3 linked regions of the Drosophila melanogaster genome follow. The protein of the gene in region 2 interacts with the protein of the main gene of each other region in a pairwise test. Each region holds a gene or a part of one and is shown on either strand. Other genes may lie near its edges.

The links.
Region 1: the proteins of Hr78 (region 2) and wdn interact in a two-hybrid assay, tested with the Drosophila melanogaster proteins (one study listed by BioGRID).
Region 3: the proteins of Hr78 (region 2) and Samuel interact in a two-hybrid assay, tested with the Drosophila melanogaster proteins (one study listed by BioGRID).

The regions. Positions count from the first base shown.
Region 1 is NT_033777.3:28,804,801-28,815,429, forward strand, and holds wdn (wings down), read right to left. Parts: upstream 6,538-10,629; 5' UTR 6,286-6,537; coding exon 5,270-6,285; intron 5,210-5,269; coding exon 4,005-5,209; intron 3,894-4,004; coding exon 3,505-3,893; 3' UTR 3,183-3,504; downstream 1-3,182. Other genes in the region: CheB98a (chemosensory protein A 98a), read left to right, coding at 1,926-2,171, 2,233-2,403, 2,457-2,633; Prp39 (pre-mRNA processing factor 39), read left to right, coding at 7,315-7,354, 7,595-7,686, 7,905-8,751, 8,818-9,014, 9,081-9,206, 10,348-10,622. UniProt on the Drosophila melanogaster protein: May belong to a complex set of multifingered proteins which play an important role in gene activation or regulation at early embryonic stages through a maximal accumulation of their transcripts (or protein product) in the mature oocyte.
Region 2 is NT_037436.4:21,489,122-21,500,044, forward strand, and holds Hr78 (Hormone-receptor-like in 78), read right to left. Parts: upstream 8,374-10,923; 5' UTR 8,170-8,373; intron 8,063-8,169; exon of another isoform or gene 8,022-8,062; intron 7,901-8,021; exon of another isoform or gene 7,787-7,900; 5' UTR 7,739-7,786; coding exon 7,699-7,738; exon of another isoform or gene 7,621-7,698; coding exon 7,300-7,620; exon of another isoform or gene 7,272-7,299; intron 6,748-7,271; coding exon 6,478-6,747; intron 6,360-6,477; coding exon 5,185-6,359; 3' UTR 4,898-5,184; downstream 1-4,897. Other genes in the region: Neu2 (Neuroectoderm-expressed 2), read right to left, coding at 1-880; CG7202 (uncharacterized protein), read right to left, coding at 2,327-3,066, 3,456-3,585; CG7519 (uncharacterized protein), read left to right, coding at 4,064-4,075, 4,127-4,234, 4,299-4,661; Glg1 (golgi complex-localized glycoprotein 1), read right to left, coding at 9,094-9,371.
Region 3 is NT_033779.5:11,061,384-11,071,524, forward strand, and holds the start of Samuel (SAM-motif ubiquitously expressed punctatedly localized protein), read right to left. Parts: upstream 5,616-10,141; 5' UTR 5,162-5,615; intron 1-5,161. Other genes in the region: CG14915 (uncharacterized protein), read left to right, coding at 9,678-10,040.

The sequences.
Region 1 (10,629 bases), on a different chromosome or scaffold from region 2:
GGGTGGTGGATGTTGCGAGTGTTGTGGTATGATGCTGGCTTAATGGGTGGCACCACGCCCACTTGCCACAGCAGCTGGCATTATAAACTTAATTAAAATATCGGCAGACAGTAATAAATGACAGCCCCCAAAAGCAGGCAATGTTTTCTTTTAGAAAGGCAAGCGGCAAATATTTAAGCACTCACACATATTGTAAGGACTTTGGCGAAGATTCGCGGGCGTGTGTGTATTTATAGACACACATCCCCGTGAGTACACACATGCACAGGGCACACACAATCACAATCACAGGTAACTGCTACATGTGTAAATATTTACAAAACGCGCCAAGCGTCGACAAACCGACGCCAGGCATCTTCACTTTTGCCGCCAACGAGCGGTCCTTCATTGTTGTTGCAACGCGTAACTCTTTCGTTTCGACCAGGAGCGTTACTTGGGCGCCAACGGCCAACGGGGCCCCTGAATACAACAATTCCATCCAATAAGCTACTCACTATGGTCCCTTATGCCGGATACTTAACTTTTTAGGCTTGTCACTTGAGTGGTGTGTTTGAACTAAAATTCTAGCTCTGGAGTTAAACAAATTTATACTATATTTGAAAATGGTATTAAACGTTTTTTTCACCTGACCTGATTAGGCGCCACATGCTCCTGTATTTTCACTCACCCACGCAGCCGAGCACACAGGTTTATTTATGCCTTTCGATATTTATCGCTGTTGGTCTATTTGTATTTGTTGCTGCCACTGCCGCTTTTCGCGAATCCCCCTCCCACCATTACAAAGTCGGGTGTTTTATACCCTTTTATTATTATTATGCTGTCATTCCCGTTGTTGCGACATTGTCAGCAATCGTGGCACTGTGTGTTACCCTTTTGCGGGTACGTGGAATATGGATATTATGTAATCGGGAGCAGGCACACCGCCGGCTCAGTCGACATTGAAAGGGTCTTGGTTTCCCTTAGTTTAAAGAAACCGTTTTATGTGTCATCATATGTTGAGATTGAAATCAAAACGCTTTACTACTCCCAAAACTGGTCATAACTGGAGACGAAATTCAATGTGTGAACTTCACTTCGAATAACCAAATCGATTTCGAAATTTGCTCCATTTGGCATTCCGTTCAATATGCCTCATAATGCCAACGATGCCCATATATCAAATGGTAATCGACGATGTCTTGGCAGGTTCGAGAGTGCCATAAATTTGGAGTCCACAAGATCTTGAAAGCACAGTGTTAGCAGTTTGGGTGAAACAGGATTTAAAAATAAGTTATTCGTTGTGCATCTGTAGTACACTTCAGCAGATTGGGATTAAAAAACGTATTAAATTCCCCAACTAAAACCAAGTGTCTAACCCATAAAACAAAAACGAAGACTTACCCCTTTTTAGGTGCAGCAGTGGAATGAAATGCAATCCCACCCCTAACTGAAGCCTAAAAGGCAAATCGTTTAAACTCCCTGTTTGTCTGCTGACTTTGATATACAGCCTTTTGAGTGTCGCTCAAAGTAATAGGAAAAAAAGGAAGTGGAGTATGTGGAACAAACCCTAGGGCAATGCAAAATGCATTTTATTCGGTCTGACAGTTTTTGCTCTTGCAATTTCTTCAGGATAGTAGCAGAATCAATTTAGGAAATAGATTTAACTAAAATAAAGCATTTGGTATTCTTAGATCCTAATTCATTATTCATTAGAATTATAACTTGGTAACCATAAAAAATTAGATTGTTGAAATAATTAATAATACGATTTTAAGTAGACAATTAAAACTAAGCACCATGTGAGATTATAAGTGTACACACGATAACTGTGTCAGCTGGAGGGTAATTATTATTATTAAAATTCCAATGGCGTGCTTTTAAAAAATATATATTGGACATAACACCAGCGACCTTTTTAAAAAGTTTTAGTTGTGCACGGATTTATAATGGATGCGAAAATAATTATTCTTGCGCTGGTCTCCCTATTCTACAAGGCAAATGGCGCCTTTTACGAACTCTCTGTGGCCGATGAAGAAATATTTAGCAGCTGTCCCAATCCTGAGCCAGGCACCCTCGACATCCATGGACTCTTTGATTTTTCAGAGTTCTCCACTTCCTTGGAGGCGGATGGACTGACTGTAAGCGGGAATCAGACTTTGGTGTGGGACATCCAACGCGGGGATCGCGTACAGGTGATTAAGTCCTAAGTGCGAATCCGTCCATAAAATCAAGAACAGCCCAATTATTCCGCAGCTGTTCATTAAGCTTTTCTACTTTGATCGGGGCACGTGGACGTCGACTGCTTTCTCTATACTTTCCCAGGATTTCTGTAAAACCATGTATGATAAAAGTAATGTACTCTATGAGCCATGGACAGGACATGTTATGAACGATGTGAAGGATCAATGTATAAATGCTCCAGGGGTAGGATTCGCTATATCGCCATATACAGCTGATCTCAAACCATTTCATTTCAGACGAAGCTCATTCTGGATACCTATTTCCTCAGTTTGTCCGCCTCAGTTACCGTCCCACTTCGTGAAGGACGCTACAAGACCACCATTAAATTTCGAGCGTTCGACTCTAAGGGAACTGAGAGACCCACCAGCATTTGTTGCGAAGTAATAGGAGATGTTTTTAAGATTAGGAACTAACGTGTAGCTGATGGTTTCATACACATTTCAACAACTGATGGAAGTAACGTTAATAAATTAAATAAAACAACGTACAACAAGGTGGCTTCAAGTATTAAAGCTTTTGGGGTTGCCCTGATAGGATTCATTTAGATTAGAACTACGATCAGATTGAGTACGTATATATATTAGAAACGTGGAGGTTAATTACTACAATCAAAACATACAGTGCTCGGTACGGGGAGTTCATATTCGTTTTAACAATACTTACAATCCAGGCTTTGCTCACCATTTTGAGCCACCCAAACCAATTCGTGATTGCGATTGAGTAGGTATTCAGCCCTTGTGAGTATCTCTTCGGAACAGATAACTTAAGTCTTTTATACCTGGCTTATCCCACATCTTCTCCAGCTACTTTTAAAACTCTTCTACTTGGACAGTGAATGATCTTCTTAGATAGATGGTAAACCTAAGCCCATTTGCATCGAATTACAGCGCGACCTATTTAAATTACGCCCTTTGCAAAGAAGGGAACGGTTCCAATTTGCAAGAAATGATGGGATGTTTACTAAAATATGTACGAAATTTATTATTGGTGTGAAGCGTACAAATTAAAGATCTATCATTATGTATCTATATATAATCGTTTATATGTACACTCAATTACACTTACGGGCTATGCAGAAATCAGCTTACGTCAATTACTTAAACAAATGTAGCGTCATACTCTTAATTACCTACGGGAAACAATTCCGTATTCTTTTAATCGATTGCCATCGGTCCGCGACCGCCCAATTGCGCTGGTGCAACATGGTCGACACTGCTAACTTAACTAAGACACAGGAGATCGTTGAGGCGTTGATGTTGGCAGGCAGCAGATTCCGCCGCCCGATCATGTCAGATGCGGCGTGGCCGCAGTCGCCGATTTCCCCGCAAAGAATCGACTTCCGCCTGTCTGGTTGGTGAAGAGTAGCGTGTCAACTGAGGGCAGCATCTGATTGGATCTCACCAGAAGAGGCACATTCACCATGGACACAGAGGGTGTCTGGGCCAAGCTCGTGGTCACAGACTGAACACCATTGCCCGTACTACTAAGCTTTCCGTGTGCATTCAGCGTAAAGGCGGGTAGATAGTAGTTCCCAGATCGCACTGGTAGAGCATTCGTCGATATGGCGACACTGGAGGCGCATGAGACAGCGGTCAGCTCCATGGAGGCGGGTGACGAAAACGGCGAGGACTCCAGTGAGGGGCAAGGTAGTCGGTCGCTGGGCTTACAAGGCACTACAAATATAAAATTTTAAATTAATATAAAGTTTTTAAAAGGAATACTATTTTATACGAATAACTAGGTAAATCAATTCATAAAACAGGACATTTTCATTAGAAACTTACAGAAGTCATCGTCTGGCAACAGCTCGTCCGGTAATTCATTCTTTATCTGGAAGTGCAGGGCAGCGGCCGAATCGGAAATGGCGTTGTCCGACGTCCCCATTTCAGTGTTTGCATTAGGAGCATCGTACAGACCGCACTCCTCCATCTCCAGGGCCTGCTCCATGATCAGCTCTTCGGCTGAAGTCAGACTAAGACCGTGTAAGTCAAGGAACGGACCCTGAGTCTGCACTGGCTCCTTCTTGATTTGCGGCACAGCAGGAATGGGCTCTAAGCTGGACTGCTGGGGTTGGCCCTGTTGCAGCAGCTGCGGTTTTTGCTGCAGTTGCTTCGGTGCTAGCTGCTTTCGTTCTCGCTTGGCTTTGGTCTGCTTAGGAGCCGGCGGGGCCAGCGGCACCAGCACAGTGGTAAGTTCCTGCTGATGCTGTTGCGCCAGCGGCACAGGATGCACTTGCTGCAGAGCAGTACCGGCAGGTAGAGTTATTCCCAATGCAGCAAGAGTGGCCTGCTGCGGCTGCTTCTTTTTCCGCGCTTGTTTTGCAGGAGCCGGTGCAGCAGTAGACGTAAGATTAGCCTTGGCTTTAAGTTCACTAGAAGCGGAGAGTTCGTTGGGATTCACAGCTGAAGATGCTGCCGCCGCTGCTGCTGCTGCCGCGGCTGCCTTTTGGGCCTTGTTTGTAGTGGACTTTTTAGAGCAGTAGGAGGGAATGTTCTCGAGGTGTTCGCCCGTTTTGTGGTCCACCTTGTGTCGGCGTCTCGTGTGCTTCAACCAATTGGGGAAGTTGGTGAAGTCTCGCGGACAATAATTGCATTTGAACGGGCGCATTCCTGTGTGTATGTTGGAGTGCTGCTTAAGCTTCGAATTGCTGATGAAGCTCTTGTCGCACACTGTGCACGCGAATGGTCGCTGCTCAAGATGCACCAAGTTGTGGACCTTGAGACAGCGCTCCGTTTTGTACATCTTGCCGCACTTTTCGCAACGATAGGAACGCGTTTGCGCATGGTACTTCTGGTGGCGCTGCAGATGTGAGCGCTCCTGGAATCGCTTCTGACACTCGGGACACTCGTACGGCTTCTCCGATGAGTGAATCCGTGCGTGGTGCGTGAGGTTTATTTTTTGCACAAACTTTTGGCCGCAGATGTCGCACTGGTACTTCTTGTTATCGCTGTGAATCTTCCGATGCATCCACATGCTTCCCAATTTGAGGCTAAAGTTAGAGTAAAATGGTCAATAGGAATAACTATTTTTAGTTTGCAGTAACACTTACCACTTGCCGCAGTCAGGACACTTCTTCCAGGTGTCCTTGCGGCCCTCGGTGCGGTGCGTCTTTAGGTGCTTCTTCAAACCAGCCAACAACTCGAATTCCCGCTGGCACTCGCTGCAACGATAGGTGAGCCTCAGCCTGTGAGCGGCCGCCTCATGCTTGGCCACCTCATCGGGCGTCTCCAGCAGCAGTCCGTTGCAGTCGAGACACTTGTGTAGAGGTGCCGGGTCCACCTCCAACGGCTTCGTTTCCGAAGCAGCCGGAGGCGGCATGCTAGCCGCATCCGCCACCGATTCAGCCGATTTGGCCTGCTGGAATATGGTAAACGATGGCGGCAGCAGCTCAGACTCGCACACCTCTACCTTGGTGACCACTTGCTCCGGCGGATGCTTCTCCTCGGGCGGCTCCTCCTTAAAGACCTTCAGACGCACCGCCGTCGCCGCCGGCAGCTTTGGCTTGCGTTGCAGCAGCTGAGACTGGGGCATTTGGAGCTGATGCTGCTGGTGGAGCTGCTCGGGCGATAGCTTTACGGGTGTGGAGGTGCCGCTGGACGAAGTCTTCTTAAACGGGGAATTAGTGAAAGCATTCGGGGGCTCGGGCCGCAGGAAAGTCACACTAAACTCCGAGCTGGAGTGGTTATCACTGGTCAGAGTGCTGGGCACGGTTGACGAGCTGGTGGCAGCCAAGTCATCGCGGCAGACGTCCGAGGATAGATTCAGCTCGGTGTTGTTCTGGGCACTCTCGTCCAAAACGCGCCAAAAGTCGGTGGAGGAGAGACTGTTACCATTGACCAGGCTGGCGGAGCTGATGGTCACGCACGCCGACAGATCGATGTCCAGCGACTCGTCCTTGATGCTCGATATCGAGTCGAAGTTGTTGATCCGCAGCAGAGAGCTGAGTATCTCGTCGTGGGCCGCCTTCGTGGGGGTGCCCGCATCGCCGCCGTAGATTTTAGGCGGCAACTTCTTGCTTGGCGCCTCCTCTTTCATTCTCTTGCCCTCGCCCTTGCCGCCTTCCATTCGCCTTGCCTTGCTTACACGTACAGGTTATGCGGTCGGCGTTTTCGCTCGCCGTATTTTGTCTTTGTTCGCCGCGCCGCTGACGCTTTGCGTTCACTGGTCGCCGTTGCCCGGTCACTGGGTCCCCAATTCACTCATCGCGATCGCTTTCGTTGTATTAAACGCGCCGCAATTGATCGAAAAACATTTAATTATTGTGAAATGCGCCTTGGCTTTGTTGTTTTTGTCACGCTTACAATTCTCGAGTCGCCATTTTGAGAACAGTGTTAGAAGACGCGCACGAGTGGCAGTCCCGCTAAGAGTGATGCTCGCCAGGCGGGTTATTAGCTATATTTAATTCACGACTGGATTCACCATTCTAAATAACATTTAAAGAGATTTCTTGACTCAAAAAGAAATCTTGTCCGACAAGGAAACATTTTACTTACCAATTCCATTTACATGTTTGTATTTACTTGATATAATTCACGATTATGTTGTATAGAAACTATAACAATTTTTTGGGCTTTTAAAATCCTATGCATTGAACATTCAAACCCTAAATATTAAAGGAAGTAGGCCCAATGATTGTGTTATTTGTTTATGTTTTTTATGTTAACTTAATAACCCACTAATTTATAATATGTGTAACATTAAACAAATTTTATCTTCTTTCATTAAGAATTATTTATGGTGATATTTAAAGTCCTCTTACCATAAAATATTTAAATTATATTTCTAGCTGGAACATGTAATTTCTGCTAGAATTTGTATGTTGAGATAGGTTCTGCATGCGCACGCCAAAAAATGAACTAGTTCGCCGAACTGGAAAAACACTGAGCACTTAGGCTATTTTCGTTATTAAATTATATTTTTTGATAGATTGTATATAATTCATTCATCAATGCTAAAAAATGATAAATATCGAAATTCGAAAAACCTCTGAAAAATATTCAAAATATAGCTATGAGTCAGTCGTCAGTCTTGACCAAACAAAGAGATATCGATATTGGCGGGACATGTATATCGATACCACGTTGCAATGTTAATATGGCGTCAGAGGGCGAAAACGTTGTTATGGAAAGTCCAGGTAAATTGATGAAAAATTACAAATACGTGCATTCCTTCGACCGGACCTAGTGACCGTTGATTAAAAATTCAGTCCTTACTAGCCCATTTCGGTAGCTGACACTGACAGTTAGCTGGAGCAGCCCATTAAAGCATTTGGAAAAAAGTGAACATCACGAGGCAGCGAACAACCCACAACACCGCGCGTACAGTTTATGTAAACCGCATGGATTAACCAAGAAAGTTAATTGACGTTTTCCAGGTCGCCGCACACGTTCTGGTCGGAAGGCCGCATCCCCGGCTGCATCGCTGCCAACCAGAAGCACCCGGCGCACATCCAAGCGGAACGTACAGGTCAGTTCATCCCACGTAGTTACCGCCTCTTCCAGATCATCAGCCAATGATGTAAACGATTGCAATTTCCAGTGTGGGTGTGGCGTTGTTCCATCCGCACATGATTCTTCTCCCTGGAGGAGCGAGTGATTACCTGCAAGGGCCAACTGAAGGCACAGCATCCACAAATGCTCTGAGAAATGCCGGGAACCTTCATTAACGACTTTTAATCCTTTCAGCTAAGTGACCACGAAGAGGAGGCCGAAGAGCAAGTGGTCATGGTTCAGGAAGAGGAGGAGCCCTTTAGAGGGACAAACACTGCGGAGGCACCTGCTTTGGAGCCCCAATTCGAGGAGACTCAGCACCAGATAGAGGATGACGTGGAAATGCTGCCAGCCGAAGCTGCTGGGGTTGATGAAAAGAGCTCTTCCTTCCCGTTTGGCACGGTGGCGGAGCTGCATTCAGAGACTAGTGATGATATTAAAGAGACACGCGGTCAGGCTGGCGTGGACACCCTACTGGCTTCTTTAGCCGGCGATAATGCCAACAGCCTGCCCTCCGTGGGTGGAAATGACGAGAGTGACAATGTCAAGAAGGCGGACTTTGAGTACAATGTAGACTCCCTGCAGCCGCAGATGGAGAAAATGAATTCCTCTGAGGACTCCAGCTCACAACATGCCATTGCCGAGGATCTGGCCGATGCGGACACCAGCAATGCAACCATTGTCAACACAGAGATAGTCTCCGAGGATGAGCTACCTCTGCCCAGCAAGCCTGAAATAAATGATGCCGAGGAAGTTTCCGATGAAGAGCTTCCAGCACCGCAGCGGGCTGAATTGCCAGAGGATGCTGAAGTAATCTCGGAGGATGAACTGCCCGCCAGTAATAACAATAACACCGCCACTGAGCCCAAGGCACCTTTGAAGCGCAAGGCGGAAAACGAAAGCGTTAAGAGCACCGAAGATAAGGATGCAAGCAGTCATGAATCAAGCACAAAGGATAAATCCTCCGAGCAATATAATCCGGGCAGTCCCACATCTGAGAGCAACGACGCACAGCCCTCAGAGAAAAAACTCAAGGTCGAAGGTAATTGTTAATCTTCCAATGACTAATTAGTTGGTAGAGCTTGACTCACAATATTTAAACCCACAGAATCGGAGCCCAAGGAGAAAAAGAAGGAAAAGGAGCGCGATAAAGATAAGGAGAAGGATAAGGACAAAGATAATAATAAGGATAAGGAAAAGGAGCGAAAGAAGCTGCCGGACCTAGATAAGTACTGGAGAGCTGTCAAAGAAGACTCCACCGACTTCACCGGCTGGACGTACTTGCTGCAATATGTTGACAATGAGGTGGTTATTTAGCCGAACGCCGCATATCTTGAACTTTAAATAAGCAATTTTCTTCTTTCTCAACAGTCTGATGCGGAGGCGGCGCGCGAGGCCTACGACACATTCCTGTCCCACTATCCTTACTGCTACGGATATTGGCGCAAGTATGCCGACTACGAGAAGCGCAAGGGCATCAAGGCAAACTGCTATAAGGTGAGTACCCCACTTACATTTGGTCGTGCAAATAAATATCTTTCGCAATTTCTTGTACTACGCTTACAATTACGATTACAATTGATATTCATATATTTGTTGTTAAATGCAATTTATTATGACCTAATAAAAATACTACATTCAATAAATGCAACATCTACCAAAATACACCAAATTGAGAAGACAAAACCAAACTTGCCATGAGACTAGTGCAGCATCCACTTAGGATCGTGTTTTCTCATAGGGTTCGTGTCTGCTAAATACTTTTTACGGGAGATGAATCTAAAAAGGGTACGGATTTAATTTTTTTAGATGGTGAAAGCTTTATGGGGGAGCTTGGCAATTTGTTTCAAAGGCTAAGCTAAGTAAATGGACTTAATGGGTCGCGTATAGAGATTGCCTCCAAATTTGTTTACGTTTCTTTAAAGTAGTTTCTGTTTTGTAACCTTAGTTACACCAAATTCATAATTTCGAGACCGGACGTCGACCTTATTTACCACTCCGTACTCCCTACACCTTAGCACTTTTTTTTTGGCGATCTTAGCCCCTGAGATATTGTCCTTAATCTTCACGACACTAATTGGACCGTTTAAGCATAAGCCACTCCTGTGTCGCACAAATCACGCTGTAACTCAGCACAGACTAGCTCAACTCTGTTGACCCTCGAACCCCAGACCGACCTGAACCCGAAAGCGACTGGTTCGTCTACTCGAAGTACGATCCGTCTACTTTCTGATCTTCGTACGTTTGTATCACCAGTTACCTCTTCAGTTACGTTACCTCCATCCTTCTTCAACACGATATAAATAGTGAGATCGCATCTCGTACAGTCGTAAGTACAAATGGCGTTTAAATGAAATTTTTAAGTCTCTTTGTGAATTTTGTTGTAAATCGAGTGCCAAAAAAGAAATCAACTACAACCTGTGTGTTATGTATTCCGTGTACTTGTTAAGTCGCTAAGTTAGCTTTTAAGCCCGAACACCATTCACATCAAAACGATAACCTTAAGTATCTGAGCACTTAACTCTTGAAATCTTACTATAAACCACGAATATATTTTTATATTTCTCTTCTGCGATCAATCAACAATAAATGAAAAAATCAAAACTTGTACCGAACATACGAAATGACCAAATCCTAGGTGTTTGAGCGCGGACTGGAGGCGATTCCGCTGTCCGTGGATCTGTGGATCCACTACCTAATGCACGTTAAGTCCAATCACGGAGATGATGAAACATTCGTCCGCTCCCAGTATGAAAGGGCAGTGAAGGCGTGCGGCCTGGAATTTCGATCGGACAAACTCTGGGATGCCTACATTCGTTGGGAGAACGAGTCAAAGCGGTACCACCGTGTGGTCCAGATCTACGATAGACTTCTGGCCATACCGACACAGGGCTATAATGGTCACTTCGACAAGTGAGTT
Region 2 (10,923 bases):
TTTTGTGAGCAGATGCTTTTGAGCTTTGAGAGCATCTCGCGTTCCTTGACAGGTGTCGCTTGAGATACGCATGTAGCGCAAAGTCCTTTGAGCAATGGCCACAAGTAAAGAGGCGTTCTTGGTGCACTCGCATGTGCATCCAAAGTTCATGTTCGACTTGAAAGGACTTCGAGCACTGGGAACACTTGAACTGCGTTTCATCAGTGTGCGTGGCCAAATGCTGCTTGAGAATTAAAGAAGTTAGAAAGCACTTTTGGCAGTATGGGCACCTTAACGATCCTCTTCTTTCGTGCATCTGTATGTGGGCCTTGAGGTGGTGCCCAGCTGTAAAGGACCTTGGGCAATGCGAGCACTGGAAGGGTCGTTCTCCTGTGTGGGTTCGCATGTGATTCTGAAGACCAGAGCTATAGCCAAAGGACTTGGGGCAGAGGGAACACGTGAAGGGACGTTCTCCTGTGTGTGAACGCATGTGTACCTTCAGATTTGATTTTACTTGAAAAGATTTAGGGCAGTGAGAACAGCTAAAGCCTGGTTTCTCCTTGGCCTTGATATCACATTCGTTAATATCAGGTTCATTGCCGGAATCGACGTCGTCGGCACCATCCTGGAGATCCCTCTCAGCTGCCTCCACTTCTTCTGAGCATCCGGATCCATCATTTTCACTCTCCTCCTCCCGTACATCCTTGAGGAAGCGGTAAAACTGGTGACTTCTCTCGTACGTTTCTATGATATCGAATGCATTCTGCGCATCCTCCAGACAGGACTTGCATATGGTGTTGGACAGTGGATCGTGCTTCTCAACTTGCCAGCCGGTGCACTTGTATATTATGTACGCAATGGATAGGCCCGGTTCATGAGACTCATCGAAAACACTGGCCATATTTTCGTAACTGACCAGGCAAACTCGGCATATTGACGATTCCATCGATCTGAAATGACACGAACTGTGTGAATATAAAATTGCGAATATACAAAATCGTGCACTTAAACGGTTTCAAAAAAGTATAATGGTTATTCCCAGATCTTTGAGTATTAGCGTTTCTGGAATCTACATCCTGAATGCTAAATACACTGAGATCTCAACTTTCAAACAAACGGACAGAATAGGTACGACTAGATCGTAGTCATGGATGACACATACACTTTATAAGGTCAGTGACAAACGTCATCTTTTAGTTGCATAGCATCAAAAAGAACCCTCTGCACTCTTTCTTATATTTAATAATCAATGAAATTTAATACTTGTGTAGAGCTTTAAACATAAATTGCACTAATTTCCAAATACATCTTGGTTTATTTATGACTTTGCTAACTCGGCACGAATTGACCCACAATGGCAATCCTTACCTTAAACTTACCTTATTTTCGTGTTTGTTCACGGCGAATGCGTATTTAAAATGTGGCAATAAGCACAGGAATTGGCAATCTGTAAAGATGTTGCTATGACAAGGGTTGTACTCCTTCTGAAGTGAATAGGTAAGTCGTAAGGCTTATATACAAACATGTCCCAAGGTCGTTTGGTTCTGTAAAATGGGCAACATAGCATATTTAACAATGTTACCTGGGTCAGGTGTCATCAAAGAAGGGCTTTCCAGCAGCTGCACTCATCTTTTTACGGTGCGTCCCAACTAATCTTACGATTTTCTGTAGATCCAAGCAGGTCAATGCATAATGTGATACATGCAGGTAAAAGTAACTATGGTTAAAGAAAAAATCTTTCCTTGGTCGACCCCAAAGTGCTAAATCATTATTGCTGAACTCTAAAACCATGTGTTTGTAACGAAATATACTTATTGGGGTGGTGGAAAACAGGGGAAAACCATTTACCCAATGACCAATAAAGCTAGCCATACCCTTCTATTCCCAATATACCCCATGGCGGAATCATTCTAGTAGCAAATTATTCAATAAAAAACATACAGTACAAAAAAACGAATAATTCAATTTTAAATACAAGACTAAAACAAAGTAAATGGCATCGATTTCTGGTGTTAATTAAGTACATATGTACATTATTAATAACTTTGTAAATCAAAAGGAGTAAGCGATTATTGCCTTTATAGATAATGTGCTAGAATTATTCCTTAAATTCCTTTTCTTGATGACATTAAAACACTCGAACCCCAAAGTTTTTAAAAACATTTATGTTAAATCAACTACAATAATAAAACTAGAAAGTAACCTATAGTCGAGCAAGCCTTATTTGATGCGATGCCCTTTTTCTATGGAACCATTTCCCTTGTATTACCAACTACTAAAGATAAACGTCGTTGAATTGCTAGTAACATTGTTTATTCCGAGTGAAATGGATGATTTTGAAGACTCCTCATATGAGGATGTTGTGGCACCGCATGCCCGTTAACATGGGCATCTTCTTTGGTCCGGAGATGAACCTTCCCGCCACCTGCAGGAACTCGCTCTGCCCCCGACCGAACAAAGAAGCGTTCTGGGTGAGCTCGACGTTCACGTGGTTCTCGGTCAGGTAGACCTGTCCGTTGATGTGGAAGTGGCTGTTGGTAATGTAGATGTTTTGTGTGGAGGGGGAGTTGACCTTTTCGGCGTGCAATGAGCCGGAGACCGTACCGGTCAGGGAGTCCGATCGCCTCCACACCACCATTGATTCTTCGGAGGACTTGGCCATTGCTACCCGGTTTCCGGATCTGACACTTCCATAGCTACTGGAGCTACTGCTGATATCCAGCTCGTGCAGAAGTTCGCGCATTTCCAGACACTGCAACTGCAGGATACTGAGCTGCTCCTTCAGATTTTCATTGTGGTCCTGCAGGAGATCGAAGGGATTCGAATCGTCCTGCTGGCTTGGCGCCTTCTGCTCAACAACTGGGTCCTGCACTTTGGCAGCAGATTTGGGATGCAGCGCCTTTTTGCTCTTGAAATACCTTTTGGCCTGCAGCTCCGCCAGTTGGAGCAGCTTGGACAGACCAAAGGTCAGGGCAAAGATCACGCCGAAGCTCGTCGCAAACTGGTAGGTGCTGTCGGAGCTGTCGGAGCTACTCTGCTCTGAGGGACTGTGGCACAGCTGCGGCTCAAACGTAATCCCAGGACGCTCTGTACAAGTGAATAAAAGGCAAAAGGTAAATAACAACTTTGTGAAAAACTTTAAGGGTCGATAAGTATTTGGAACACCAAATTACATCAACTTTTCTAGGTATCTACGTTCAGTCGGACGGAAAGACGGACATGGCCAGATCACTGGCAAGTGATCTTAAGAAAGATTAATACATATACTTAATGTCTGATATCTATTTCATATGTTAAATCAAATCTCGAATACCCTTTAATACCACAAATAACGATTAAAATAATATAGACATTAACTTCTAATGTATCCGGCTTTAAAAGGATCACTTTTAAGAGTGATTAAAAAATCATAAGTGTAGTGTTGGATTCAACCACCATTTCTTCACTTAACTCAAAACAACAATGGACATCCTCACCTGTGTATAATTCGACTCGGAAATCAGAGGAGAGCCGCGTCTGGACCTGGACGAAGTGCTGGAAGCAGAGAACGGCCCAGGCCACGAAGGCCAAGGCAGCCAGGAACAAGAAACTTATGCATTCGAACATGATTCCCGAAATTTTGTTGTGTGCTGATAACGTGTGTAGTTATAAAAACAGCTTTCGAACAAGTCGGGCCTCGTGTGGAAAATAAAGAAATATCGGACACTAAAATCAAAGCGAATAAGATTGTAAAAGGACTCTGTTTCTTTCGGTTTCTTTTTAATTTCTTGAAATCTTAAAAAAGCTATTAGAATTTCAACTTATTTATTTTAAAGAAATTTCTTTTTTTTTTTGATGTTTTAAGATATTTGATTTGAAACAATTTTATTCCAAATTAATTTTCGACTGTTTGGTACAACAATGCATATCAATTACTTAAATTTATTTATTTAATTTTGAATTCAATATTGTCTTCGGTATTTGTACGACATTGTACGTTATTCATCCCGACTTGCGGCTGGTCACACTGCGCTAAACAAAGTACGAAACGTGATTTTTCGTTTCAATAATTTTTAAAGTAAATAAGCAACCTTGTCCAAATAAAATGGAGATGATGGTATGTAGTGGCTAAAAGAAATTAACCGATTCTGATTAATGGACTTGTTAGCATGGAGCGTCGCTGCTGTCGCGGCCAGCGGAGGAATTTGGCAACGACACCCTGGTGGAGGAAATGTGGGCCGCAAAAGCTCTGGAACACGCCGAGGTGCACTTTAATGTGAGTACACTTTGAACGATGTTAAGGAATGGTAGTTGACACTGCTTCATCGTATTCCCGGCAGCTCATCACCAGCGTCCATCCCTCCCAGCTGAAGCTCACGCCCTACGACGACCAGATATACGCCACTTTCCGGCAGGATTTTCCCGATCTTCACGTTGGCCGGCTTACCGATGATATTCTCAAATCCGCCACGGCGAAGCTCAAGTGGCGCCAGTTCGCCGAGAAGTTTAACAAGTTGGACGATTACTCGTATGGCACCCTGATGCGCGCCGATGCCAGCAGGGAATTCTCCCCGGACAACTCTATCTTCGTGTTTCGCGTCCAGTTTCTGGCCATCGAGATTGCCCGGAATCGGGAGGGACTCAACGATGAGGCTTACGAGAAGCACAAGCCCGCCAGAAAGGTACCCGAAGAGGAACAGTAATCCCTCGCTCTAGCTTAGATTAAGTTGTAAAGACTGGATGCATATTTAGCTGCAGTTCGTCTATCTACTTTAGTAAACAATCAAATTATTTTTATACAAAAAATAAAAATATAACGACCGCCTTTAAATTGTTCCCTACACGTTGCCATTTCTTGACTTTGTATTCTGCTTTCTGCCAATCTGTGGGATGAGATCCACATCTTTAATAAAAATTAGATTAACATTTGATCAAAGTTGTGTTGTAATAATCTAATGTATACATCTCAAAGTTCTGATGCAAACATTCTGTTTAAAAACATATTCGCTTTTATTGGGAAATCGATTCCATTTTATCTGTGAACAACAATAAACCCATGGTTTTATGTTAGAATATTGTATCCTAAACTATATATTGTATATATTAAATATATAATTAATGGGATTTGCCTAGTTGCTACATGTATTGCCCGCACTTGGTCCATCTTCAGTCTTGCTTTTGGGCAGTCTAGCGAATCTGCTTGCGCCCTGTTCTTCTCAATTCCGCCTACAGTCCACTGGTGTTGCTGGTCATCAGTATGAACGGAATAAGAGCATCCATCTGCATCTGCCCCACCAAGTTGGCGAAGAACAGCTCCTCCATGGCCTCTGCGTCCAGGCTGCTGAGCGGAAGAAGGCGAGCCACCAGAACATTAAAGCGCTCCTCGCCGCCGCCGATGCCACCCTGCCTTCTCAAACTTGACAGAGCGTAGAGTTGGACTCTGCGGACGTAGCCTCGCAACGACCGCTCCTTGCGCTGCTGCAAGAGCGTTGGATTGAAGAGCAAGATCAGACGCAGCAAGCCAAACTCCATATCAGTAACATCCAGTGACTGGAGCTCCTGGACAAAGTCGTGCAGGGTCCTGGTGAGATTTGCCATCTTCGAGATCTTCAACGGTTCGATCTTATCGATATCCGCTAGCTGGCGAGTGCTTTGAATAAACTGCCCGATAATGGTGGGCACCGAAAGCTGACCCTGACACTGCGCCAAAGCTATAGCCATTAATGCTGGCCACACTCCTCTCAGGAGTTTCACCTGTGTATGGGCTTCCAATTGTTCGAAAACTGGAACCTTTCGAAGGGTATGGATGGTGAGAAAAATGATTCGCGAGCCCGTCTCACACACATAATGAATATTTAAATACGAGTGGACCAAAGTCGGCGGTTGCACATGAAAGGCACACTGCACATCGGTGAGAAGATCCTGTTCAAAGACCGCCTCATTGATAGCAAAATCGCTTCCACCGCTTCGGTTCCCACCGCACTCAAAGTCTAGTTCCATGTGCTCCAGCTCCGCGTCTACGGCATCCTCGGTGCCACTGTCCTCCGCCTCTGAATCGCACTCGGGCTTCACACTCAGATTACCATTTCGCTCCAGTTGGTTTTGGATGGGCTGCAGGATCTGCAGTCCCTTGTGGATGACCCGCATGTCCAGCGAACTCTGAATAAGCCCCATTGTCGAGGTGGTAGGCAGAGCGGTGGGTACTTCCCCAGCATTAAAGTTCAGGTGCTGCGAGTTGTTGTTGCTGGCGCTGTTGGCGAGCAACTGCAAGCACAGCGTGCTGCTGTTGTCCATTGAGTCGTCCTCGTCATCCTCGGGATCTGCCTTCGGAATATCTGGCGAATAGCTACCACTCTGTTGATGCTGTTGCTGTTGTTGCTGCTGCTGTTGGGTAGCGAACACTGCAAAGTCAATAGGAGATTATTAATGGTGAATTCGTTTAAAAGAAGTTAAATATGGATCAATCATGGCAGTTAAGTATATATGACCAACCAGAATGTAAATCAAAGTTCAACTTACTCAATGTCTGCGTTAGTTCTGCGAAATTCAAACCCATCGGGAATATATTCTCATTCAAATTGAAGGCCGTTGCTGGCGCGCTGTGCACTGGAGGCGTGGCCGCGGATTCGGCCTTTACACTGTGCCCCTTGCCACGCCCCTGCTGATAGCCGGACTTGCCGGATAGGTAGGTGGACGAGCCATTACCGCCGCCAGAAGTGGATGAGCTACCGGCAGCAGCGATGATCCCCTCCTTCCTGTCCACAATCGGTTTCCTCTCGTGCTGCACAGCTGTGAACAAAAGTTGATGAGAACGGAAGGCAATTAATTAGAGCGAGAAGTGAGGTGAGGATGCGGTTTGATGATTTTCAAAGCGAGGTGATGGTGAGTAAGTGGGTGAATTGGTTAATGTTCGTGCAGGCTGGGAATCTTTTGTGCCTCCGCCGCTGCAGTTTTAAGATGTGCAAGTTACTGAAGTGGATATTCACGTTACAGAAGCAAACACTGGGATGCAATTAGATTCACGTGATTACTTGGTGTAAAATGCACTTCACAGACGAAAATTGAATTGAATTCAATTGAAATTGAACTTTCTCTAGATTAGACTATTTATCTTTGAGTCCAATTCGAATTGGAGATCATCCAACCAGTTCTTGATTAAGCTCTGGGAAACTGAGTTCCTGTGAATCGATAACGTTTCATTACTTGTCAGAGTTAAATGCTACATATATGATATCTCCTAATTTCTACAATGCAATTCTGCTAAAGCCTGCTGGAGCACGTAGACTCTGGCCAGGCCAGAGATTGGTTATAGCTTGAGACGACGACTTAAACGAAAATTACAATCACTTCGCATGCCGCTGGCCAGGCACTTCTGTAGTCGACAGAACTGGCACCGATTCCTGTGGTGCTTGGTGACCTCGCAGTTCATAGCCCCGCGACACTGGTAGCCCAGCTGCTTCCGGATCGAGCGCTTGAAGAATCCCTTGCAGCCTTCGCAGCTTATGGCTCCGTAGTGCCGCCCGGAGGCGCGGTCCCCGCACACCAAACACAGCTCCACGCTCAACGTTGCGGATGCTCCGGCTCCCATTCCCACGCCGCCTCCTGGCAGAGGAGTGCCGCCTGAGGCACTGCCTCCTCCGATCAAGGGCATCGCTCGGTTTTCTGCAAGGTCAGAGGGCAATGGCAACAGTCGCGTTAGAATGGGCTCCAAGGTGGCATGGCTCGGGTGATTGGACTCACCTTCGCTTTTGATGAACGTCTCAACCTTAACGCCGTCCATTGTCGCCACAGCAGGCGGCTAAAAAATAGTCGTCGGCTGTATAAATAACTGAAACCCAAACATCTTCACATATGTAATTTAAATTTTACTTGCAATATAAAGTAGAGAAGAGATAAATATGGAGTGTGTCTAGAATAAAGGAATTACGAGCCGAAAAGAGAGGTATGAGGTGGTTAATTCTATCACAAAATATATTTATATAGTAGATAATAATAATAATAATAATAAATGTATTATAATATATTATATTGATGTTTTCAAAAAATAAATCATTGAATTTTACGCAATATAAAACACCGTTGCTGCTGCCAACAAAAGTGCTACTATTTTGGACGCAGCTGTAGCTAACGTAGCCAGAGCTATTTTAATAGAACCTGTTTTGGCTGCATCTGTGTGGGTGCCTGTGATGTGAATGAATTGGTCTTGCTTACTTGGCTCTTTGAAAATTCTTATTGGACGTCTGTTATCACCATTCTTGAGCTTTTAAAAACATCTATTTTTCGAGGCACTTGGTTAAAGTTATGTTACTTCCGGTCAGTTACGATATTTTCAGGCACTTTGTGCCTATTTTGAACCTTTTCTAACGCAATAAAATCTCCTTGTTCCAATTCACTTGCGAGCAGTGTGACCGCAGTTGGGCTCTTTCAACATACCATCCGGTCCCATATACTAAAAAAAGGCAGCTCATTGTGCAAATATACCAAAACACCTGTAGAGCTACAGTTCGTTGAAATTGTAATTTTTAACGTAAAACAAAGGATAATAATAGAATTACTAATATCAATAATAACAAAGGCGTGTCTAGGGTACAAATTAGAGTCAAGCTTAATCAATTAACACAAATTTTAATTCTCATAAGCCCACAAGGACATAATATTAAATTTTATACTTTGAGTTACCTTGGCTATTTGATTAAATTGATAAGCCTATCCCAAGTTTTTACTTAACTTTTGTACTCAAAACTAGGCGCTCTGCCGTATTAGCGCTCTGGTATTGATCCAAAGAGAAACATCTGTTGATGCCTTCCATGTGGATATAGTTAAAAAGAAGGGGCTTTTGTTTACAAAAATACAATTTAATATACAAGTGAAATTGTTACAAAAAAGCTATAACGAAAAGAGCCCTAAGAATGGAACTAGTATATTTGATTGTGTTCTCCTTTCTCGCGTATTTTTTGGTCTTACAAACGACTAAGCCACAAATTGCTCACACAAATATCGAAAGGCAGACAGGGTTGAGTGAAAGTATACTTCTGGGTTTCGGAATGGGGTCATGGATGGGCCGAAATGGAAATCAGCAAGCTCACAAACATGCACACTCCGCCTACACAGTGCCACTACAGTCTAATATTTCAATTATTTATTCTTTAAGCCCATTGCCCGTTTGGTGGCCCGTCCCAGGAAGATGCCGGTGAGGAAGACCAGGCCCGTGGCGCTCATTAGTATCACAAGGAAGAATTTCCGCGCCGGAGAGGCGACGACTTGTTGCACTAGCTGCTGCACATCCTCGGGCGGAAGCGCCAACGTGTCGTCTGCGTTCCTGAACATCTCTATGCGTCGCTGCAGCTTTTCTCGGCAGTCCGCCTCTAACGAGTTCGGCGTATCCTTCAGCAGCGTCCTTAAGCAATTAAGTTCTAGAACATAGAGAGAAAAACATTAATTATTATATTTATAACCACACCAACCACACACACACACACACACACACACACACACACACACACACACACACACACACACACACACACACACACACACACACACACACACACACACACACACACACACACACACACACACACACCCCCCTGCACCAAAAAGGAATGTTCAAGAAATTTCATAATTTGCTGCCTATCACGTAACTTCCCGTTGTTTATTTACACTATGTACTGTTCTTATTCTCTTAGTCAATCTGCCTCCAATTATATCGATCTGCTTCAAATACATAAGCTGTTTGATAGGTGCTTTCACTAAGAGTTTCCAGTGTAGGAAGAGGAATTCTACTATCTGCCCCCCCTGGCTGATGGCCTGGCCAAAGACCCTAGAATAACAAGATGCGTAACGCCATACGATTTTTTGGCACACGATTTTTTGGCCGTGGCTCTAGAGGTGGCTCCAGGCTCTCTCGAATTTTTGTTAGAGAGCGAGAGAGCGAAGAGCGCTACAGCGAACCGCTCTTTTCTACGCATACAGTGATAGCAGACAACTTTATGTGTGCACACGTATGCTCATGCATTGTAAATTTGACAAAATATGCCCTTCACCTTAGAAGTTCTTTGGCTTTAAATCTATATTATTTTTGATCAATTGGCACCATGCGAAAAATTCTTGTTTTGCATTGCCTTAACGTTATTATTATTTGAAAATAGATTAGAAATAGTCAAATCTATGTACATATTATCACAAAAATAAATTTCAAAAATGACTTTATATAAGAATATTTGTCATTAGAGTATTCATCTTGCGGCGTGTGAAAAATTAATAAGGCAATGATTGTTGAGTCAAAGACCCTAGAATAACAAGATGCGTAACGCCATACGATTTTTTGGCACACGATTTTTTGGCCGTGGCTCTAGAGGTGGCTCCAGGCTCTCTCGAATTTTTGTTAGAGAGCGAGAGAGCGAAGAGCGCTACAGCGAACAGCTCTTTTCAACGCACAAAGTGATAGCAGACATCTGTATGTGTGCACACGAATTCACATGCATTGTAAATTTGACAAAATATGCCCTTCACCTTAGAAGTTCTTTGGCTTTAAATCTATATTATTTTTGATCAATTGGCACCATGCGAAAAATTCTTGTTTTGCATTGCCTTAACGTTATTATTATTTGAAAATAGATTAGAAATAGTCAAATCTATGTACATATTATCACAAAAATATATTTCAAAAATGACTTTATATAAGAATATTTGTCATTAGAGTATTCATCTTGCGGCGTGTGAAAAATTAATAAGGCAATGATTGTTGAGTGCTTGTGTCCGCACTTCGTGCCTCAAGATATGAACAAAGCAAAGACACTAGAATAATTCTATTGTCTTTGATATTACTTTTGCAATTTAATTTAATTGCATATTTAATTATTTAGTATATTTATTAAATCATTTGACTTAATATGATGTAACATTAACATTAAAAGTGTTTCAAAAAAAATATTTCGCTTTTAAAAAATTTTCAGATGAGAGACA
Region 3 (10,141 bases), on a different chromosome or scaffold from region 2:
CATGTCCCCAAAATGACAGCGACATATTGCGCGCCTCGAGTTCACTTCATTCGAGAGTTTGAACCGATCTGAATATAGTCAGCGTGCCAGGGTGTGAGTGCGAGTGGGGGTATCTGGCGCACATACGTGGATATAGATACTTGTATATACTATATACTGTAGATGCGCGGCACACGCTGTTCGGAATCTTGGCTAAGTCTGTCAATTGCTAGGATATACAGTGCGTACCGGCAACTTAATGCAACTGGAAGATTCACTCATACCGGATGTAGAATTAAGTGAAAATCTTACGGATCTCCATACAATCTAATTATAAAATTATTCTGAAGCAATGAAATATCTGAACATCATTTAAATATGTTTGTATTCATTCTTTTTCCCACTTTTCCTTAGTTGCTGCCATGTCAGTGTATCCGAACTATTGAGTATTAATTGTAGTTTATGTCCTGGACAAATGGCCATAGCTCGCACTGTAGTGGCATACAAAAAGTATTTATCTTTTAGTCATTTTCATTTTTTGTGAACCAAAACTACAACTCAACTCTGTCAGACGACAGACTGACTGCAGAGTCGTTGGCTTTGGGTTTGGGCTTGGTCTTTGGGCTTTGGGCCTTGGGTAGAGGGACCTGAGACTGAGACCTGGGATCTGAGACCAAGTCAGGCCAAGTCAAGTCGATGTCGAGGCGTGTGGGCAGCATCAGCGTGTTGGGTTCAGTTCAGCTTGATATTTTTTTATTTTTTTGCATGTTTTCTTCATTTTTTTTTGCACCAGTTTAGGCGAAGCCTGTCGTCGGCGATGTGAGGCAAAAACATGGCAGCTACAAAATCAAGTGACGAACGAAAACTTTTAAGGCGAAAAGAACTGGCCGAGACGAGGCAAAGATCGTTATGGGGCAACACAAAGGGGTCAGGTCGGTCGGTCGGTCGTGTGGCAACTGTACTCGGAAAAGTGACACCTGCAAAAGGCCGAGTGAATGGAGGTCAAATATAAACGAGGCGGAAGCGGACAACCAAAGTGTTTATCCTCATGACTGACGTGTTGTTTGCGTGCTGCAAGATCGGAAAGTGAAGAAGTGAGGGCTCCAAAATATCCTTATATGCTTGCACCGACATACTGTTTGTCACAGCAAATGGGATACGTGGTTACTTGAAGATACTTCTTATTGAAGATATCTTGTTTATGTGGGTTTTCTACCAAAAGAGGATGGCATTTCTTCAGTGCCATTGCTTTTTATGTAATAAAGTTTAGCAGTACGACCACATCACCAAGAATTCTTCCATTCTAGAGCCCCACTGACCCCCATCACAGCGAACCGTATATTTAAGCAGTTAAACAAGCTCACACCTCACCCACTTATCGTGAGCCATCTTTAAACTCTTGACCTACCAAAGCAAACACGCTCAGATTAACAAAATCCAATCCTCAACCTAAACAAAGCCAAACCTGTAAGCCATTAAGAGATTAAAGAGCCTAGGTATAAATATTTATATTAAAAATCAAAACAAAATCGAAAATTATAGAAATATATGCAGCGATTAACACGTTTCTGCTATAAAACATAAAAGAAGCGAAGAAACTACAACAACATATTTGTAATAAAGTTAAGGAAAAAGTAAATGAACATTAAACGGTTTAGGTTAGGCTCGGATTGGTCAAACCGAATGATAATTTATGCGAATGTAACCAAAAAAAAAAAACTGATAACAACCAAACTACGTCAGACAAAATTGGAGTAAACTAGATTTAGGAAAAAGCACGCACAGACCTGATGCAATATGATGTTCGTCTAGGAAATACTCAGTTTTCTGTGGAATAAAACATGAAGATCGAGACTTTAAGTCAGAATTGGTGGAAATTCTCGAAAATCTTTCTGACCTTTCGGGAAGTCTCAACTTCCGTTTAGACGACGATTTGTGAATGGAATTTGCCAGCTCATTGAAAAGTGTATCGCAAAAAACACGCCGAGGGTGAGAACTGGCTCAGGTATCATCATATAATCAGGCACATAACTGCTTGCCTCACAAACTTCTCTTGTCACTTGATAGAGTACCAGCAAAAAAAAAAAAAATAATAAATAAATTTAAAAAAAATGGAAAGAAAATCCCCAAGCTGGCATCATAAAATATATACAAAAATAAATGCTAATAATAACAAATTCAACAGTTTCCTGCGGCTCACATCACAATTTCGCCGTTTCATGTCATTAGCGGACTCCAAAGTAAATATTTGACGAAGACAAACGAACCTCTGCCGCACAGCAACTTCATCATCATCGCATCACAATAACCCGTTCTACCCGAAATAAGCAGGAAAAATAATAATAATAATAATAAAAATAATGAAGAGCAAGTGACGATCACTTTGAGGGCATTGAGGGCGTTTTTAACTTTTATTTTTCTTTGCTAAAGATCGGTTCCCTCTGCTTTCGTTATGAGATGAGATCGACTGCGGTTTTTTTTTTGTTTTTTTTTTTTTAATTTTTTGCTGACTGTGACATTTTTGTCACATGAACTTGCCGCCACCGCCGCGATCTCAGCAATCCTCGACGAACAGGGGTAACTTGAAGTTAACTTTATGTACTCGCCATTATATTCCGTCAGCGAATTCGCGCTGCGAAGATCATAAGACCATAATTGAACTGATTGGCAGTGTTTTGTTATGGTCCCTGATTTCATTTTTTTTTTTTTACCTTTTTGGTATTTTTTTTTTGACTCCGGGGACTTGTAGTAGGTTTTCATAATTTGATCTTTTGACAGATCAAAGATCGCTGCTTGAACCTAAGGTTAATCACTGACCGCAGCACCGCACAATATGGCTGTTATTTCTGCTTGGATTCGCTATTTGTTTGATTCGAGCCGCCGCATGAAATCATATTTCTCCATAAAGCATCCACTTTGTCTGTCCCAGCTTCCACAGATGATCGAGTGCCGATCTGGGCGCCCACACTCGATCGCATGTGTGCCTGACTATACAAATACATACATATATGTATATACATATGAACAAATACATACATATATATCTTTGCGGCTGTGTTAATGATCGCAAATGTCGTGATTTTAGTCGAGTGGGTTGAGTGAGGTGCTGAACTTTAATTAAACGCGCACCGAAATGTGTTTTTTCACATTCTGAACTTTGAGACATCAACTGCATCCACCGGGCAAATGCATTGCAATCGCTGCGAGATCGGTTAATCAACAGATGGCCTGGCCTTATGCTTCCTATGGGGGTTGTGAGACTAAACGAACCCAAGGAGAACCTTCGAAAATTGACACACAACAAAGATGGAAAAGTATTTTGATTTATTTGAGACAAATGTCATATTTATCGGTTATAATTAAGAAGAGATGTCTTGTATGTTATCAGATTGAACTCTTGAGTTTCGTTAATTAGCTTAAGGTGCAGCATGAGCACGATAATTAATGTTAATAATAAATGTTTTGAGCTCTATTTGTATGAGCATATTAAATCGATTCTAAAAGTAATTAAACAAAAGCGTACTAAAAAAACCTATCAATTAAAAACTTATAGTCTTACCATTTTAATTGAATAAGCTACCTCTAAACTAAGTGAGAAATTGACCAAAGAGGTCTATAAAGAAAACATGCCACAATGAGGCAAACTAACAAAGAAATCAATGAGCCATAGGCCAAGAACAGATGGCCATTACCAGCAATAAACGTTAACTGAATCACAAAGGTTTAGAGCCACTCAAAAATCGAAGAGTTAAATCGAAATGCGAATCGGGAAAAACGGAAAAAGCGAAGCGCCTAAAATAATATTGTAATCAAAAATGCGAAATGCAAATGAAATGCAGGTGGTGTGCACACTTAAACACACAACTGCACTTACAACGACAACTGTAACAATAACGGCCATCGGAGGTATGTACAACAACAAAAAGTGACCAGAGAGTGAAGTGGGTGGCATTTGGGCAGGGCGAGGGGGCGACAAAGGTGAGTTCGCTTATCAGGCCCAAAAGCAAACGCAAAAATGAAAAAATAAAAAACAGCAACAACCACAAACGCCGGATATGAGCGCCACTTAAAAACTGTAAAAACAATGAACAAGCAACAAGTGTTCCAGACGACTACACCGAAAATAAAGCATTTACATTTTCAGGTTTCACATTTAAATTGATAATTGCATTTTATTAACTTTGATAAGTGAACAATTAATAAAATACAGCATTGATCAGGGGTTTGATTTTGTTACTTATTTTCGAATTCGATTGCAATACTATTACGTTTTTTTTTTATAGTTTAATATTTATTTTTATTCTGTGTGACTACTATTCAATTCGATTTTTCGCAGAAACAAATGGATCATCTATTTGTTCCCCGTGCAGACAGACAGACAGGCGAGTACAAACAGACCAGCAAAGAGAGCGTTAAATTTGCACTTACCGTTCCGCAGAGAGTCACAATCGGACAACAACAAAGTCTGCAAGAGGGAACAGGTAGCCGATTCACAGGCAGGCCAATTAATGAACGCGACAAAATGGCAAATAATACTTTGGAAAATGTCCACGGCAAGACCGTAAAAGTCAACTAAAGTACGGGCTGGTCTGACACACATGCTTCACATTCCCTATTACGATGCTTAGGATAGCTTATGATTAATCTTAAAGTTTACAATAACTATTGCGATATGTTCTCACAAAGTTAAGGTCGCTGAAATTTGAATTTTTTGAAGGAAAATAATTCATCTTAATTCAGATTATTAGGACACCAAATTTTGGTATTACCGAATGCTTTTCAAGATAACAGCTATTTTAAAACGTATTTTTTGTTGCAAATACACTTTTGTTTGACTTTTTTAGCAAATAATATAAAGAACATCCCAATCTTTCGAGGCTTCACTGTGCCCACGCGGGGGAGTATCAAACGCACAAAGGGAGAAAGGAGAATGATGAGTACGCGAGCGGGAGCGGGGCAGTGAAGAAGAAGGTGGACCGAAACAGTTACCCACTAATTGCAAGCATGCGTCGCCGCAGCTTTTTGTCACCCGTCGACTGACGACTGTAATTGTAATTGCGCCTGTATTAGAGTTGCGGCTCAATCAAATGTCTCGCTGCGCAGCATTTACAGTTGCTGCGGCGGACATTTGCTGAATCATTTGTTTATAGCCGAATCAGAAATGTGTGTTTGTATTAATTACCGTTTTAAGCTGCCTCCTCTCTGCTTCTTCTCCCCCTGCTGTTGCTTCTTCTTCTTGCTAAGTGGGAATTGGAATTCTTTGCTGTCAAACACTTCAATGAAAACTTTTATGTGGAGCAATTGATAAAGCCGCGCTCACGCACACACTGACACTTTGCTGCCGGAATCTACGCACACACACACACTGGCATTTGTACGTTAAAATTAAGTACAATAATTCACTTGTTGTTGTTGCTGTTGGCTTGGCACTTGTCGACCGTTTTTTGCGGCACGCTTGCAATTAAACAAACAATTTCTCTCCTGCAGTCGCAATAACAATATTCATCGATCGCCGCGTTTTGATTAAATTGTTTGAATTACGTTTTCTATTGCTATTATTATTCTTCGAATGGACCGCAAGCGCGAGAAAGCTTCCGTATCGACCCGCACTCGAGAGCTTCGGAAAAATAACTGTGCAGCAGCAAGCGATCGAAATCGACTTTGGGGCCTATTTTTTCCACACCGGAGCGACAAGTGGCGATTACAGCAACAACAACTGGTTGTATGAATGAATTTCTGGTTTAAGAGAGCGGAAGAGAGTCGAAGAGCGGCGCTCTTTGGATTTCTCTTCAGCTTGCAGCAGGTTATTTTATTTATTTTCTGCTGAGTGATTATTATCATTATGAAGTGATCTGATTTGCTGCTGATATTAAAGCAAGACCGGTCAATAATTACACTGGCCAACACACGCTAATGGCTTTTTGAGTAGTTATTGAAAAAATTGACTCATTATGGTATTACATTTATACTCTTGGGATGCGATGTTTTGAATTTCTGTTATACTAACAGTATGCACAAATCTTAAACTTAAACTATTGTAGTCGAGGAGGGTTCGATTTCTTCGTGTCCTTAAAACTTAGCCGTGTAACCCAGTGTAATTATAGATTTTACTAGATTAATTCCAGCGGAAGACGCCTAAAATGCTTGAAATAATGATATGGTACGTGATTAAAACAAGAGCGAATCGTGTTCCCGATGGGATCATCACAGATCCGCATCCCCATTAGGGCGACAAGATGGAGATATCGTTCAGAAGAGGCACAATGTATGAGGTGATAATTCACTTGTACGTCACCCGCTCGCATTTGCATTCGCCATTCGACTCCACCATTCCCGGTCGACTAACTACGGTTATCCTCAATCAGCTAATTTATTTCCATGGAAAATATCGCCCCCACCTCGAGAAAGACGAACGATTTTCCCTGCCAAGGGGCTCCACCTCCATTCAAATGGGGGAAACCAAACAATTAAGCAAACAAAACGACAGCGACCACGGCTGCAGTCTCCAACTGCAGCTTCAGCTCCAGCTCGAACTTCAGCTCCAACTCGCCAGCTCCGACTTGATAGCCCCTCCAGATAGAAACTGTCAAACAAAACAAACTACACGATAGAAGCCAAACAAAGCGAGGCTTCCAAAGTGTGCTGCGTTTTAGTACCCGGTAATTGCGGGGTATATCATTGTAAAACAATTTAATTTAGAACCCTTCACCATATATAGAACGATATATTTATACTAAAATATTCAACCAAATTTACACTTTGAAAACTCTTAAAACGTTATACAAAATGAACATTACGCATTTTAAGCTTCTCATATACCTTGCTAACTTTCGAGCCCTTAATCGTGCATACTAAAAGGTATCTGGTAGTCTAATTTGCCATTTTACAAGCTTTCTTGTTTATTGTTGCCTTGCCTTTGTCTTTTGTTTTAGCCTGGCAAATGGTAGGCTAAGTACAAGGAAAGGCGTCAATGACGACCAACGAAGACGACTGACGTCGACCTTCGGCAACTACGCTATCAAAAAGGAAGTTCAAATGAGAAAAAAAAGAGTTAAGAAGAGAACACTAAAAATTGAGGCCCCAAGAAAAGGACAGGGAGATGCATCGAATATAAATTAACTGCCATGAACGAGGTAATGGAGCAACAATAACAAGACTACCAGTGGCAGCAGAGAGAGAAAAAGGATATACGGCAAAAGTGTAGCTTATCTATTAAACCAAAAATATATTAATATGCAACGCTTAAATATTATTATAATGTTAAAAATTAACTTGTTTTCATACATATTTATGATGTTTTATATATGTTGTTTAACTATTAAGCCTATACTTTCCAGTAGTTTTTCAATGAAATACTCTTATTTTCTAAACAAGATAATTAGTTTTCCGAGTGCATCGAAGAGAAAAGCAACAATGAAGGCTCCACAAAAAGCCAGAAAGCAAAACGACGACGCGCCGATGCTAGTGGGCGTGTACCGCTCCCCATCCGCCCACAGCTGCCGCTCCTCCTCCTCCTCCTCCTTCCTCCTTCCTCTCCACCACTGTGCCCGTGTGCAAGCCAAGTGCAATCTATGGCAGCGATCGGCCAAGTACAAATGGTTAGGAGATGCAACAGTAACAGCGAAAACAGCAACAGCCACAATGGCTGGCGAGGTCAAACAGCAATCAATAAAGGTCAGCGACTACCGCCGGGGCACGCCTGAGTGCCTACCGTCAATGCCGCTTTGCTGGATTGCTGGATTGTCGGATTGCTGGATTGCCCGATGGCCAGATGATCGGCAGAAGGGGTGGGCTCGAGGTGCAGAACCAGCTCCCAGCCCACACCCAATTCTCCCTCTCCTTCCCCCCTTTCGCAGTCACTTGCCCATTCATGCGGCCCACGATGAAGATGCTTTATGTTGCAAATTGAAAGCTGGACATCCAATCGACTGAAGAAGAACAAGACGAACACGGCGGAGAAGAAGAATAAGAGTAGACGTGGAGGCAGTGCCATGGGCAGTGGCAGCAGGAAGGTGGGAAAGAGAAGGCTGGCCGACAAATGTAGACAGTTGCGACTGCGCAGCCGCAGCAGCAGAAGCTCAATTCGCTGAGGTTGCTGAAGAAGCTGCGTCAGAAGCCCAGAAAGGTGGGAGCGAGAAGGAGCTAAGCTGAGGAGAGGGAGAAGATCGCTTAACCCTTTATGGCCTATGATAGTATGATTGGCTGACTTTATATTAGGAAGTACATTTTATGAAAATTATGTTCTTCCGTTGAATATCTAAGAGGTGATGCTATTATTAGCAAATGATACTAAAATTTGAGCTAAAACATATTTTTAGATATTTTTAAACGTTTGAAACCTCTTTAAATATTAAACAAATATCTTTACAAGTTCTTGGCTTAAAATAGAATAACGATATTATAGAGAAATTAATTGCGCAAGTTATTTGTTTTTTCTAACAGCCCACCAGCAGGATTCCCTTGGGCAACATTGGGTTAATTAGCTAAATGGCGGATGTCGATGACTGTGGCATTAGGCGTATGTTTCTTGGCTATTCCTTGGCTGCACTGTCGGCCAACACCGACCGGCCAACTGAGCGACCAGCGACCCTGTCCCGCCCCCGCAGCTGTTGCTTCCGAGGTTGCACAGCTCCCGGTTCCAAAGCCGCGGCTAAAACCATCGGTGATGATGATGACGATGATGATGATGATGATGAGGATGCTACCAAGTGGCCTCTGCCTTTTTGAATGCATCTTGTGGCGGCTGCTATCTGCCTGGCCATGGCATCCACAAGATATTTTTAATGGCCCAGCTTCCTTTTTGCAGATGCTCTGCTACTTTGCTTCTGCCGTTTTTTTTTTGTTGGTCCGATTTTTGTGAATGAAGTTGTTTTAGATACACACACACACTCATACTCCACTCCGCTGGCAGAGAAGTAGCACCATTATCGCACTGACATGTCTGCTGGATGTCGCTGCTGCCCACCACCCCCTTTTTGCGCCCGCCAGCCCACCGGCAGCCGCCCACTTGGCGGTGTGTGTCACCTGTTGATGGATTTCGTTGTTTGATTAACATGAAATGGCATCGCATCCAATCCCAGCCGATCTTGATGCCTTGAGTGGAGTAGAGTGGATTGGAGTGGATTGGATTGGAGTTGAGACGCCGACTCTAAGTGACTTCGTCCCAGTTGGATCGCCTGGCGGATAGTTAGCCAAATGTCGGAGATTGATGAGGTGGATGGGTTAAGTGATGGCCCCGAGTGGAATGGCCAAGGAAATTGTGGCTTTTGATGGATTTCAATGTACTTACTCCTTGGAAGCGTTTATCTAAATAGCCCGCAACCTTTGCGGCCAATGATATGATATTCATTCCAAAGAAAAACGGGTTAACATTTTTAAGCTTGTTCGCTAGTTGGTACGATTTGTAACCAACAAACATGTTTAACTTATTTTAATAACTTACATGTTATATATTTAAATATATTTTTAAGTAGTAGACAAAACGAGCAATTTAAAGATGTAAAATCGCAGACTCCGATTTGTAGACATTTGTTGACAATAAAAGTAGGTAAAACCAGGTACGACAAACACATGGCATAATTATAAATTACTTAAAGGGTACGCCTTTTAGGACTACCTGTGACGTATCTTTGCCACTATAAATTCCTACGCGCCGAACGCCATTAGTACATTCAATACCAAACTGCCAAGCAGTCAAGATGTCGAGCTCTAAACTTGCCCTTCTTATTCTGGTCATTGCCTGTTTGGTCCTTATCGCATGGGCACGACCCAGGTCGAGATCTTCAATACTCAATGAGGTCACATCGCTGCCGGCGGAGAGAAGAATGAGCAACGAAATCATGGACCAGATATCGCCCATGAGGAGGCCACACAGGAGGGATTATTTCGTGAAGAGGCGCCCGGTCATCAGCTCTAGGATGATGATGTCCAGAAGTCCCTTCCTCGAACGTCTTTACAACGATCCAGTGCCGGAGATTGCACCAGGTGGAGCCAACTACTTTGGCAATGACGTCCTGCCGCTTTCAACCTACGAGATCCTGGAACCAGAGTCATTGTATTAGAAATAATCTCTAAGCACTAAATATGTAAACGAATTAAATTTAATTTAATTTTACAACTGACATTTTGTTCATACAAAGAATGAAAAATATAATTGATAGTT